Linked DNA regions of Oryzias latipes. The protein of the gene in region 1 purifies or fractionates together with the protein of each later gene. This does not show direct contact. Links are inferred from orthologs where the notes say so. Each region holds a gene or a part of one and is shown on either strand. Other genes may lie near its edges. The genes, in order: ubxn6, aspscr1 and nploc4.

Region 1 (4,231 bases):
AAGCAAAAGATAAACTAGCAATAATCTCAGATTCAAAAAAAAATAAGAAGAAGGTAAAATAATTGTCTGGATTATTTTACCTTGTCCATCTACTGGGAGCATAATGCTGATGAAGCCCAGAGCCTGCAGAAACTCTCGACTGCCCTCCACACAACGCACTTTCTCCTGAAAGACAAATAATTCTCATTACTTTGTGTGGGCAGAGCCAAGAGTCAAAGGAAACAGTTTGATCGTCACCTGGAAAACCTTGTTGCTGACTCTGACTTTTCTGTACTTTTCCTCTGTTGGATTTTTGCAAATATTTTCAACATATCTGTAAAAACAAAGAGGTATTTTGGAGTCAGAGACCAAACAGTAGAAATTAATGTTTGAACTGTATTCTAATAGGAAGTTAAATCCTCATGAAGGTGGAGTTTGATTAGTCTAATTAATAGAATCAGCAATGAACGTCTTACTTGCTGATGATTTCCACGGCTGCCTTCACTTTCTCTTTATCTTTGTTAAAGGTGTGCACCATCATGACTGAAGCTTCGACTGGATCTTCCTCAAAGCGCTGTTGGTGTAAAAACAGTCCGTATTTTATCAACAACAGAAGCGGGATTATTTTTGTCTGTTTTCAAATCAACGCATCTCGGGGGGGCGGGGCTAAAAGTGCAGGAGACCCACCATCAGGATCGCCTCTTTGATGTGCACTTCCCTCTCACTCTTGGACAGTGTCGCTCCGGTGAGCGGACAGGTAAAGTAAACACCTGACACTGAGAAGCACGCTGGATCTTTCACCGGCACTTTGGATCCCTGAATAAAAGAAAAAATAAAAAACAGACGGTTTTATTGTTACTTATCTGCTGTTCGATGTCACTGTTCACCATAAACATCAGTAAACTGCAAACCCTCTGCTTCATTGCACTCGTACCTCTGCCGTTGCTGCTTTTTCCTTTTCAGCCACTGCCGCTGCCTCCGCTTCCAGCTCTTTTTTGACTGTAAACATAAACAAATGAACTCACAGGAATACTGCTCTTTCACAGACAGAAAGCTCTCCGGAGATTTGGGTGTGACTGGAAACAGTTGAAGGGGCTGGAAACTACACAGCATCGAAACCACACAAGGTCAGAGGTCACCACCTCTCTCTCTGCTGCCCTTGGTGAAAAACATTTGGTCCGTTTAGACCGTTTAGTCCGCAACCTTCAATTCCATTTGGGAAGGAGCCACAAAAGTCTTATTTCTCCCTTTAGAGGAAAAAAAGCACAGATTTGTATTTTTGTTTCTGTTACGACTATGATAAATATGAATCAACTTTTGTTTTTGGCATGGATAAAACATAAAGATAAACATAAAATAGCCTTTTTTCCCCCAAAATCTGAATAGTTTATGACTTGATTCATAGACCCATGACTTCCCTTCAAAAATAAAAAACACCCCATGCCACAAAGGATCCACTCAGTGCAGCGAATGTAGTGTCATTACTTTATTTTACCATTTGTGTTGCATCTCAGCCAGAAATTCATCAATCTAACAAACTAAATTAGAGCTGATTAAGTGACTCTTCTGTATTTTTTAAACCATGAGATGCATTTAAAATCCCTGAGTTCAAAAACAGACGATCTGCGTTATAATCTGATACATCTTAAGTATGAATTCTGATACTGGCATTATATTGATTTTAAACGTAAAAATCCGTCCGTGTTTTGGTACGAATTTGGTAAACTACAAAGGATTGATGGAGAAACTTGCTTTTTACTTTACAGGTACTGTTTATTCTTATTAACCAGAGAAACACAGTAGAAGGGTAAAACAGCCACACGTAGCCTCAGGTTGCAGACCCCTGGTTTTGTGATCCATTTTCATTTATCGACTGACAAAAAACACTACCTCATCTTTAAAAAAATGAATTTATATTATTTTACATTTCTATTGTCATATGTAACCAATCTGTCACTACTTTAGTGATTAAACGAGTCACCAGAAGCTGATTAAACTTATATGATTTAGATCATCATCACCTTCAACACCGTATCAGGTCAGTTCACACCCCCTCAGTTTGGTCTACAAAAGGATCCTCCTTAATATCCATTTTTTGGTCGACAGGATAACAACATCGATGTAATCCAAGTCTGCATGCCATGTCAACCCCCAGAAGACAGCCATCTTCGGGTGGGCTCGTGCAGCCCCCCGTCTCTCACCCTGGATCCTGATCGCGTCCTGGGAGGTGTGCACCTTGGGGCGCTGCTGGTGCTCGATCCTGGCCAGGGCGGCGGCTCCGGCCATCTGCGCTCCTTCGCTGGGAGGACGGCGGTTTTGCCGGGAGTTGCAGTCGCTCCGGGCGGGCTTGGAGTTGGAGCTGAACGGTTTAGTGATGAGAGAAACACGTAAGGATCACAACCACAGGAAGGTTCCGGTATTTAGTAAATGTTATCAGCTTCCGGCAGATGATCCGGAGCTCCGCTCTTTTATTTTTTTAGATAGTTTGCACACGTAATGTAATTTTACCAAATTAGGGGAGGGGTGTCACAAAAGCCGGAATTCTCTTGAAATAATCAGCCGATGGATTTAGTCGGCTACAGTACAATGCTTATCGATCTGTGAGGTGTTCAAATCGATCGACTGTCGATGGGAGGGGATCAGACAGAAACCATGCTTGCACTGTTTTACAATGATCCCTGTTAAGATAGTTAGATTACTTTTAATTAGCCTAGTGACGTTTTTCTAAGCGCCCAGTTTACCTTGAGTCCTCGGTTAGCTTCTTTCCGGGTCCAGCTGATTTAAACTTCACGTCCTTTTTTAAGTCTTCAAAAAACTTCTTCATTTTTGTTTAGCTGTCGTGGGGGGAAAAAAACGAAAAAACGACAACCACTGACTTAGCTAAGGTGCACGTCTAACAGAACCAAAACATAACAGAAGAGGAAACCACTTCCGCCCAGCAAACGCAAGTGTCGCCTTCGTGTGGCTGTAATTGGAACTTCATGTGCAAACGTTTATTTCACATATTCTAAAGTAACTTTTCGGGGAACTATAAAGGTGAAATGTAAAGGTTTAAATATACATTTTTTTGCAAGAATGTTTGTTTATTCAACTATTTATTTTTTCAGATAAGCATCCTACAAGGAAGATGTATTTATTCAAAAAAAATTTCTTTTAACAAACTTTGAATGACCCTTGTCTGACACTCATTCCATACCCATAATAACTTTCATTAAACCAACCTATTGGTTTATAGTCTCAATAGGGGATTTTTTTTGATTATGTTATTTGATTCATTGAAAGTACTTGGCCAAGTCCTGACGTGCTTAAAACAGGACACCATGGCCTTTCCATTGATGTCTTCTGTGTTTAGGTGGGATGACGGGGAAATTTGACTTTTTGGAGAGACAAAATGGAGACTACAGAGGACATAGATAATGATCTGGTTCTCAGGAGGATATAATCTAACTCTTAATTTGTTTTTTAATGTTTTCCAGCATTTTTTTCTATTTTTCTTGGAAAGTAAAAGTCATTTCCTAGCTGGGGGTGATCCCATGTGCATTTTTACTTTTGAAACTCTCTGGATCTGCAGCATGTGTGACTAATATTCACTGGTATTTTAATCTTTCTCATCGTGAAACAAGTCCTCCAAGTAATTTCATTTTCACATTCTTTAAGGCACAGGTTGTTCAGAAGGAGCTGCCAATTGCTTCCAGCCAATTTCTCTATTCAAACTTAACCCTAACGAGGGTTATAGTTGTTCAATAGTGAGGAGGTTTGTTGGATTTCACGCTCAGCTAAAAAAGAAGCACGTTTCATGTCAGTAGAATTGGCCTTTGTCTCTTGAAAAGGTTTTCCTTTACACAGGAAGCCTCATTTTAGTCATTATGAACAGGTACATCCCCAAGTTTCTTTCTGATAGATGTAGCTGGACCAGAAATGTGAAGTTCACCTGTTTTGGTGTTTATGCTTCTCACTCTTGAAACCACCTCACTGATTGGATTATAAAACATGTGCATTTTTAACATCAGATTGTCTCATCTTTCCTTTTTTAAATTATGTTTGATGTTGTAGCAGCTATGAATTCTGCTGCACTGTTGCACAATCCATGCAAAAGGCAATTTAAAGTGCTCCGCAAAAGAGACAGAACCAAAGCCCAGAAACACAAACTACAGTCACACTAGAAAAAATCACAATCAAAGTTTTTTTTACAATATATTGTCAAAAGTTATTTTAAAACAAGAATAGAGAGAAGATCAGAGTCCTTCAGTTG
Region 2 (3,649 bases), on another chromosome or scaffold:
GAGGGTCCAGTTTCCAGACAGACATGTCCTACAGGGCCTCTTCAGGCCTCTGGAGACAGGTTTGAGTTCTGTCGTACCAGGAATTAGATGCAGCCCTCCGACAACCTGGAGGAAAACCCCTCACATACGTGAATGAACTTTGTTCAAGCATAAACTTTGTTTTTTTTTTGTGTCCTTTGTGCAGTTGGTGCTGTCAGACATTTTGTCAGGACTCACCTGGATGACGCTCAGCTCAGTTTTTACCTGTGTAAGTTTGTCTGAGTATCCACAACATCTGCTTTTCCAAAGAACCGTTTGAGCTTAAACATCTGCTTTTTGGATGGAACCAGGATCTTTTACATTCTTATTGAGTGTAATATTGACTGAACTCAACAAACAGTAAATTAAACTGGTAATAATGGAGCATCGGATCATCTGCATAAGGCCTGTTTCATGGAGGGACAAACGCTGAAACTAAGCAAAGACCAAAATATCAAAGAATTCCTCCTCAGCTCCTCCTGTGTTCAACTGAATAGAAAACCTTTCTTTATGATAGACCAATGAAAGATGGAAGTTACATGTTAGATTTAAAGATCCAGGAACCAGACCTGCTCTGCTCCAGAGACTGAACACTTAGAGTGCTGACTGATGGTACAGTTATCTACATGCATCATTTATGGAAGGTCCGATCCAGATTTGGTTCTGGTCCAGGTCTGGTGGTGTAGTGAGAAGCTGCAGGAGTTTCTTCACACATGAGAATCAGAGGCTTTCTTTTTTTCTGCACTCATTTTGGACAATAGCGCCCCCAAATGAGCAGCTGTTGGAACAGCAGTATTTTTTAAAGTGGTTTGATCCACTTCAAGCTTTATTTCTGAGAGCGCCGTGAGTGAAAGCAAACCATACCTGAAAGATTTACAGTTTGGACAGTGTACATAACTGCTAAAGGACAGATCATCATTGAAGGATAAGCCTCTGCATGGGAAGGACCGCCAGACCATAACTGAGTCCCAACAATGACTAGAATGGGCTGCCCCACAGGACAACTCAGAAGCACTCATCCTGGCAACACAGGACCAAACCCTGAGCACTGAAGAGATAGAGGCTCAGATTAGGGCAGCACGATATGAGAAAAACTTGCGATATTAGTGATTAATATTGCGATGACGATGTAACTTGCGGTATATGAACATATAGCAAAACAACCAAAAACATAATTTCCATTTCACTGCAACAGTTTAAAAATTGCATTCCAAATGACCCACATCTACATAGGAGTCGAACATCTAACATGATAGAACTCCATCCGATTGGTCGATGATGTCGAGGAGTCCATTCGATTGGTCAAATACAAAAAGGGATTTGTTTGTTTCGTGAAATACTTCAAGCATCCATAAGATTGTTTTAGCATATTTAAGGTAACCATTTATTGCGATTTTTGCCGTCTTTTGCAATATGCATATTGCACAGCTTGATATTGCGATAACAATAAATTTACAATATATTGTGCAGGCTGTGCAATGAGGCCTCTGAAAAAATCCAGTACATACAGTGGCGGGCGAGGGTGAAAGAGATGCCATTCACCCTGAAACAAGTCTGCTAGGCTTTTGAAGCTGCACTTTCTGAATCCATTCAAACTCACAGGAATCACAGTTTGGACAAACAGAAACCTGTCAGCTGTTCTCACCTGTCCAGAGTGGAAACAGGTGAGTTCATGGATGACTGCTTCCCTGCTTCTAACTCCTGCTCCCCCTCTCTGTTTTAGTCGTGGCTCCTCCAAAAACGATTCTGGACGACCCGTCAGTCACACTCTTCCAGGTCAGATCTTCTCCCTTATTTTGTGACATTTCTCTCTTCACTAAGCGCTGCATCAAGTGCGTTGGCTGACCTCTCATTTCTTCAGAGCTGCTTCACTTTACCCCCAGCACCTCCACCCCCTCTCACTTTGGGGTACAGTAGTTACCCCAGGCCTCACTTGGGGTATGTGCAAGATCTTCATGCACACACATTGGGCTGAGATGAGTTTCCAGGACAACTGATATTCACAGTTTTGTAAATGTTCTATATAAATGTGTACTAGCCCAACTGAACCCAAGGGGTATTTCTTTGTAGGCCAAGTCTCAAATGTGATTGAAATTCTTAATAAAAGGCCTTAAATATAACATTTTTAACCTGGCATAAGTAAGAGAACCCCCCCCCCCCCCCCCCCCCCACCTGCCCTGAAGATGACCCACTGTTTTTTCATGTTGTGTGAGATTTCATTTTCTAAGTGTGACTAAGAACAAATCTGGATGAAGAAAGACACATCTGTTCCTTCCTCTATTTTCTAAATGAAGTTTGGAAAGTATAATTTGGAGATTTCTCTGAAGCTGAGGGTCTCCGTTTCCCTAAAGGCTTTTGGTCTCCATCATTGTGGTGATGTTTCTTTTAGTAGAAACTGATAAGGGTTATCCCCCCCCTCCCCGTCTGCAGGCTGGTCTGTTTCCTGGAGCGCTGCTGTACTTCGGCTCTGACGTCAAAACAGGTTTTTGCCTTTTTACTTCCTTTTTGGTTGCTTTAAACCAAAAGAGCCTTCAGCCTCTGAGCTCGGACGTTTTGTAAAATGACACAACTGTACACATGTTTCTTTTTTTTTTTTCTTTCCTCTGCAGACTTTCACATTCGGAGGGAGCTGCTGAAAACGTCTGTTTTAGCCCTGCAGGCAGACCAGACCCTGACCAGGTACAAGCACTACTGTATGCACAGATGAAGGCCCACATGCATGTCTGCGTGTGTGCATGTCAGACCTTCCTTCACATGTCCAAAAGCATGCACGGCCAGATGCTGAACTGGAAACACACTGTGCGTGTGTGTGAGTGTGCGTGTGTAGGTGTGACACCATTTGTTGTCTCTTCTGAATTAAAAAACCCTCAAAGCATTTTTTTTCTATTTTTTTTTCCTAATTTCTTGGTTTAACTTTGGCTTCTCTTAACAAATAAAGTGATATTTGTTAAAGCGACACCCACTCCTCCACATTCACATCTCTGCCTTCTTCCTGCAGCTTCATCAGCAGCTCCTCGGCTGGACCTGATGAGCCGGTTCTACCCCCAGAACCTGCAACGTCTCCACAGAAACCAGAACCGACTTCACACAACCAGGCTGATAAACCTGCCAGAACCGACCCGGGAAAGGTGCCCAAGTGGCTCAAACTTCCAGGTCAGGAAAAGGCCACAACTGAACAAGTAAACCTCGGTTGTTGTCACGGAAACACATTCAAACATCCTTTACTGTCTGTTTCTGAGCGCATGCACGGCTGTGAGAGCAGCGTGACGTGTCAGCGCCTCGCTTTAGGCCTTCTATTCAGGAAACAGCAGAAGTTACAAAAATTACCATTTGTTTTGCTCCAAACAAGTTTTTCTTTTCTATAAAAACTGTTGATGGAGATGAGTGTTTTTGTCTGCAGGGAAGAAGTGAAGACTGCGTGTGAGGATGAAGACTTGCTGCTCCTTGTCTGAAGGCTTTGTGACCACAGTGGACCCCCCCCCCCCCCCCCCTCACAGCACTCGCCCCCCCCTCATGAATGATTCCTGGCTGCTGTGAACGCTCAGAAAATAAAATACAATAAAGGTTTTGGTTTTAAAATGGGTTTGTTGTCAGTTCAGCCTCTGGCGTGCTTGTGTGTAGGAGAAAGGAG
Region 3 (4,201 bases), on another chromosome or scaffold:
TCAATTGGTGCGACTTTGATAAACATAGAAGGATTGGTGGATGGAGATTTATGACTACCATAGTCAGAGTGATAACCCCATGAACCTTTTATCTGCTTTGCTCTTTATGTTTTTGAGCTCAATGAATGATGATTTGAATCGTACTAAACAAGCAACTAGTCCCACAAAGTAATGGTAGTTGAACCTTTTACCTAACCAGGTTTTACTTTCAGCAGCAAAAACCCTTTTTATCATCAAGTTAAAGAAATCAACCTATAAAAAAGGCCTTTGCAAATTTTAAAGCAAGTATATGAAGGGTTAATGTAACAGGAAGCTTTTGAGCTTCAAGTGTTTTCTTTCTCTTAATGTATTGACAATATGTTCCATATATGGAAGTAATATATTTTTCAGAATATTAAAATATTTTTTGATTTTATTTTTTTGAAATGGTTTATTTCAAGCAATCAAATAATAATAATAATACACAACAACAATACAATCATCAGTTATACATTCATACAATGACGAATCAAACTTAGGATAATTAGACATATTAATAAATATTGCTGTAAAGGGAGTGGAAGGAAGCGAACTTATATAATCCCACCCCTGTTCTACCGTAACCATTTTATTACATGATTTATCATTATCCCATAATCGTAACACCCAGACTTATATGATGTTACACATGTAACAAATACATATAGCTATGACTCAAAGACTTTTTTTCTTTTTTGGATTATGTAAACAACCATGTAGTATTACAGTCAACAACAATTAAGTTATATAAATTACATAGCCATATGGGGTTCATCCATTTCCTTATAATAAAAAATGTCGGTTGAAAAATCTTATTTAGGGTTTCTACTTAATGACCAAAAACATCTATTTCAACAAAGACACAAGCAATTATGAGAAAAGGTTTATTTACAAACTATGAGATTTTACATATTTAAAATCCAGAAATAGGTTTTCCTCCATATATTGCTATATATTTTAAATTATATGTGTAAGTTGCTGATGTATTTAAATGTATTTCTTAATATATATGATTAGGGGTAAAACGATTATACAATTAATAAATAAATCTATTTCTGTTCCTATGATCCAACCTGATCGATCTATCTGAGGCAGAATCGAATCGAATCGACCCGATACCGACAAAGAAACGTTTCAAAATTAGATCAATGGATTATAATCCATCTTGAAAAACACCATTTGGATTGAGACATTTAAGATTTATTTTTTTATTTTTCAAGAATAGTACTTTTCTAATAATTGTGAAAGCTAACAGAAACAAAAACTTTTTTTAAACGGAAGTAGGGGGAACCTTTCTTTTCCGATTGGTGGTTTCCACCGGGCTCGTTCCGTTGTTGAACTGGTGTCAAACTGAGTTCTGTGATGGAGCTTTGCTCTTACTCAGCCTGTACCTGATCGTTAGTTTCTTTGCATCTGGTCTGAAACACAGCGACACTGACGGAGATCCTCCACGAAGAACCATGGCGGACAGCATAGTAAGCGTGTCGGCGGGCCGGGTGACTCTGCGCGGGGAGCTAGCAGGCTAACGGTCGCTAGCCTCTTAGCTGAAGTCGGGAGTGATGAGGCAGCAGAATTAGCTCAGCAGTTAGCTAACATTAGCAAGAGTGACTGCGGCCTTTTGAGCTCTTCCACTCAGATTAGCTTTCAAGGTTGCTTCCAAGCTTCGGTTAAAAATAGCCGGAGATGGAAAACGTTTTGTTTAAATATTTAATTTGTGAGTTTTATTTCTAATATATCCCAGTTTTTTCAATAGATGATGTAGCCACAGTCACTCAGTGCTGACAATGATGTGTCTCAAAAACAATAAGTGAGTGACAGCAGCAGAAGTTTGTTTTTCTCTTTACTAAACGGGTTTCCAAATGAACCTTTAATTTGGGTTGGGGCCGGTAATTCTGCCGCTGACAGAACCAGAGAAGGTTCCTGGTTTTTATGTACTGTGGAAACAAATTCTCCAGAAACATCATTCAGTTGATTTGATGTCTGGGTATATTTGTTTCTTTACTGATATTTTAAAGCAACAGTTGACCAAAAAAGTACATCAATTCTAAAAAATAAAATAAAAACAGAAGAATAATATAGTTTTGCAAATGATGAAACCAAGCTCAAATTTTTCAACATGAAGAGGTCTAAGTCCATCCTGATGTTTTGAAGATCTGTGAACTACGCTGAAGTTGGTTTCTGATTGGCCAGGCCACTAAAGGAACTTTCCACTGCATTTTTCACACTAACACCACCTAGGACCTGCTGGTCCTGTTCCAAAACCACATGACCTGGACTAACCTGGATTCACTTGTGATTTAGATAGTAAAGAATACATAAAACACAGTTGCTGATTTGTGAAACCTTCGTCTGATTTGTGAAAATGTGAAATAGGGTCATTTTATCTCATTTTACACGCCGAGTCCACCTCAGACCAGGTCCTGTTCGAAAACCCGCTGGACCCGTTTCAAATGTAAACATTTGTTGTCTGGAACTTCTGTTGCCTCCCGTCTTGTGAATTTGTGTTGCCTGTCTACAATCCAGCTCACCCCACAACAATGGGCAGACTGATCAACTACAAATCAGAAACTGTATTTAATGTATTCTTTACTATCTAAATGAATTGAATCCAGGTTGGAGCAGTCCAGGTCCAGCGGTTTTTGAACTGGACCCGGTCCTAGGTGGTCTTGAGACTGTCTTTGAGACTCTAAATGTTTCCACGTGGTTCTCTGAACTCCCAAAGGGACCGGCTGACCCCAGGGCCCTCATTAGGCTCCAAACCACTTAACGGCTTTAAATTGCTAAAAAACTGGCTGCATTTGAAGTCCAACAAACACTGGATTTTACTGGGAGACGGTTGGAGCAGGGCAGCTGAGTGTTTTATGTTTCAGCGGACCGCTCTCTGCCTCCACGTCCACTCAGGTGCTGTGTCTCTGACTGACAGGCCGGGCTGCTGTGGATGATTTAAGGACGTGTTGTTGTTTGTTTTCAGATCATTAGGGTTCAATCCCCTGATGGAATGAGAAAAATTCCTTCTACCAAGAGGGAGACGGCAGCTGCTTTTCTAAAAAAGGTAATGTCCCAAAGTCTGGAGTCGTTCCCTTGATTTTGTTCTGGAATAATGAATCTTTGATTGTTGAAATGATTTTTATCAAGCGTCTGTCTTTAGCAGAGCCTGTGAAACTGTCCTCAACAAACAGAGTGAATTATTCCAGAGACGTGAGCAGAGAGCGACTCTGCACTCAGGGATGCTCAGGTTTCTAGGCTCTTTCCTGAAACCTGCATCCTGAAAATCAATGTCAGAAAAGACATCAGGTTTCTGAACATCAGACTGTTAAACACTAATAAAATCACCTAGCAAATTAACTTGTTTAAAAAAAGTCGATTATCCTAAATGAAACGGCTTTACCCATGATCCAGTTTTCAAGGGCGGTAATTTAAGAAGCCAAACATCTATCCTCATTTTTTAGGTTTTATAGTCCTGTTCCCCGTCTTTAGTTGGTGCTGTTGTTGTTTAGGGCGTGAAGTCGTGCAGGTTCCAGGGGGGACACGTCTGACACCTCCAGACTTTTGAGTGGATGTAATGCAAACTTAGGGTTGTTTGTCTTAAATTTACACTCGAGCCCTGAAGCTGCTTGCTTTAGATTAGTGACTTTCTAAAGGTTTAAATAGGTCTGAACTTCAACAGAGCATTTCTGCATCTCTTCATTAAAGATGTATGAATGTATGTGACGGTGCCGGGGGGGGGAGTTTAACAATCTTTAAACAGGAAATCCTAATTGAAGCAGACTGTCTGCAGAGGCAAACCATGAGTCTGTGGTTGTGTCCACATTCCTGCCCTAACCCCTACCTACTAAAAAACAGTGACGTGCGGTGAGGTTAATGGCTGGTGAGGCACTGACGTCATCAGTCAGATTTACAAACATATGAACCATACTGAGTAACTTATTCACCATTTGATTGACAACAGTTAACGTGTTTTGTTTAAAATATCATTTCAACATGTTTTTTTTCATATACAAACTGCAGCATAGAAAAAAGCACAAACATTATTATCATCTTACCTTTACTTGTAAATAAAGTCCATACGCCGCTCCTTCTGAAGAAAATGACTTGCCGCTTGCTATCACTTATTCTATTGTTTTTTAGCGTCATAATCTCAGGGCTCACCGGCGCCCCCTAACATGAGGCACGAGAACTGCTG

The links.
Region 2: the proteins of ubxn6 (region 1) and aspscr1 purify together in Homo sapiens (affinity purification with mass spectrometry; 4 studies listed by BioGRID and IntAct, counting the BioPlex papers as one, with this or other methods). This does not show direct contact. The link is inferred for Oryzias latipes from reciprocal best matches to the Homo sapiens genes UBXN6 and ASPSCR1.
Region 3: the proteins of ubxn6 (region 1) and nploc4 purify together in Homo sapiens (affinity purification with western blotting; 3 studies listed by BioGRID and IntAct, with this or other methods). This does not show direct contact. The link is inferred for Oryzias latipes from reciprocal best matches to the Homo sapiens genes UBXN6 and NPLOC4.

The regions. Positions count from the first base shown.
Region 1 is NC_019862.2:26,833,232-26,837,462, reverse strand, and holds the start of ubxn6 (UBX domain-containing protein 6), read right to left. Parts: upstream 2,909-4,231; 5' UTR 2,804-2,908; coding exon 2,721-2,803; intron 2,339-2,720; coding exon 2,181-2,338; intron 979-2,180; coding exon 914-978; intron 796-913; coding exon 667-795; intron 554-666; coding exon 456-553; intron 314-455; coding exon 238-313; intron 166-237; coding exon 81-165; intron 1-80. UniProt on the Homo sapiens protein: May negatively regulate the ATPase activity of VCP, an ATP-driven segregase that associates with different cofactors to control a wide variety of cellular processes.
Region 2 is NC_019859.2:28,952,597-28,956,245, reverse strand, and holds the end of aspscr1 (tether containing UBX domain for GLUT4), read left to right. Parts: coding exon 1-59; intron 60-184; coding exon 185-247; intron 248-1,741; coding exon 1,742-1,794; intron 1,795-2,448; coding exon 2,449-2,500; intron 2,501-2,627; coding exon 2,628-2,697; intron 2,698-3,016; coding exon 3,017-3,171; intron 3,172-3,418; coding exon 3,419-3,429; 3' UTR 3,430-3,600; downstream 3,601-3,649. UniProt on the Homo sapiens protein: Tethering protein that sequesters GLUT4-containing vesicles in the cytoplasm in the absence of insulin. Modulates the amount of GLUT4 that is available at the cell surface. Enhances VCP methylation catalyzed by VCPKMT.
Region 3 is NC_019877.2:22,105,743-22,109,943, reverse strand, and holds the start of nploc4 (nuclear protein localization protein 4 homolog), read left to right. Parts: upstream 1-1,324; 5' UTR 1,325-1,478; coding exon 1,479-1,493; intron 1,494-2,989; coding exon 2,990-3,070; intron 3,071-4,201. UniProt on the Homo sapiens protein: The ternary complex containing UFD1, VCP and NPLOC4 binds ubiquitinated proteins and is necessary for the export of misfolded proteins from the ER to the cytoplasm, where they are degraded by the proteasome.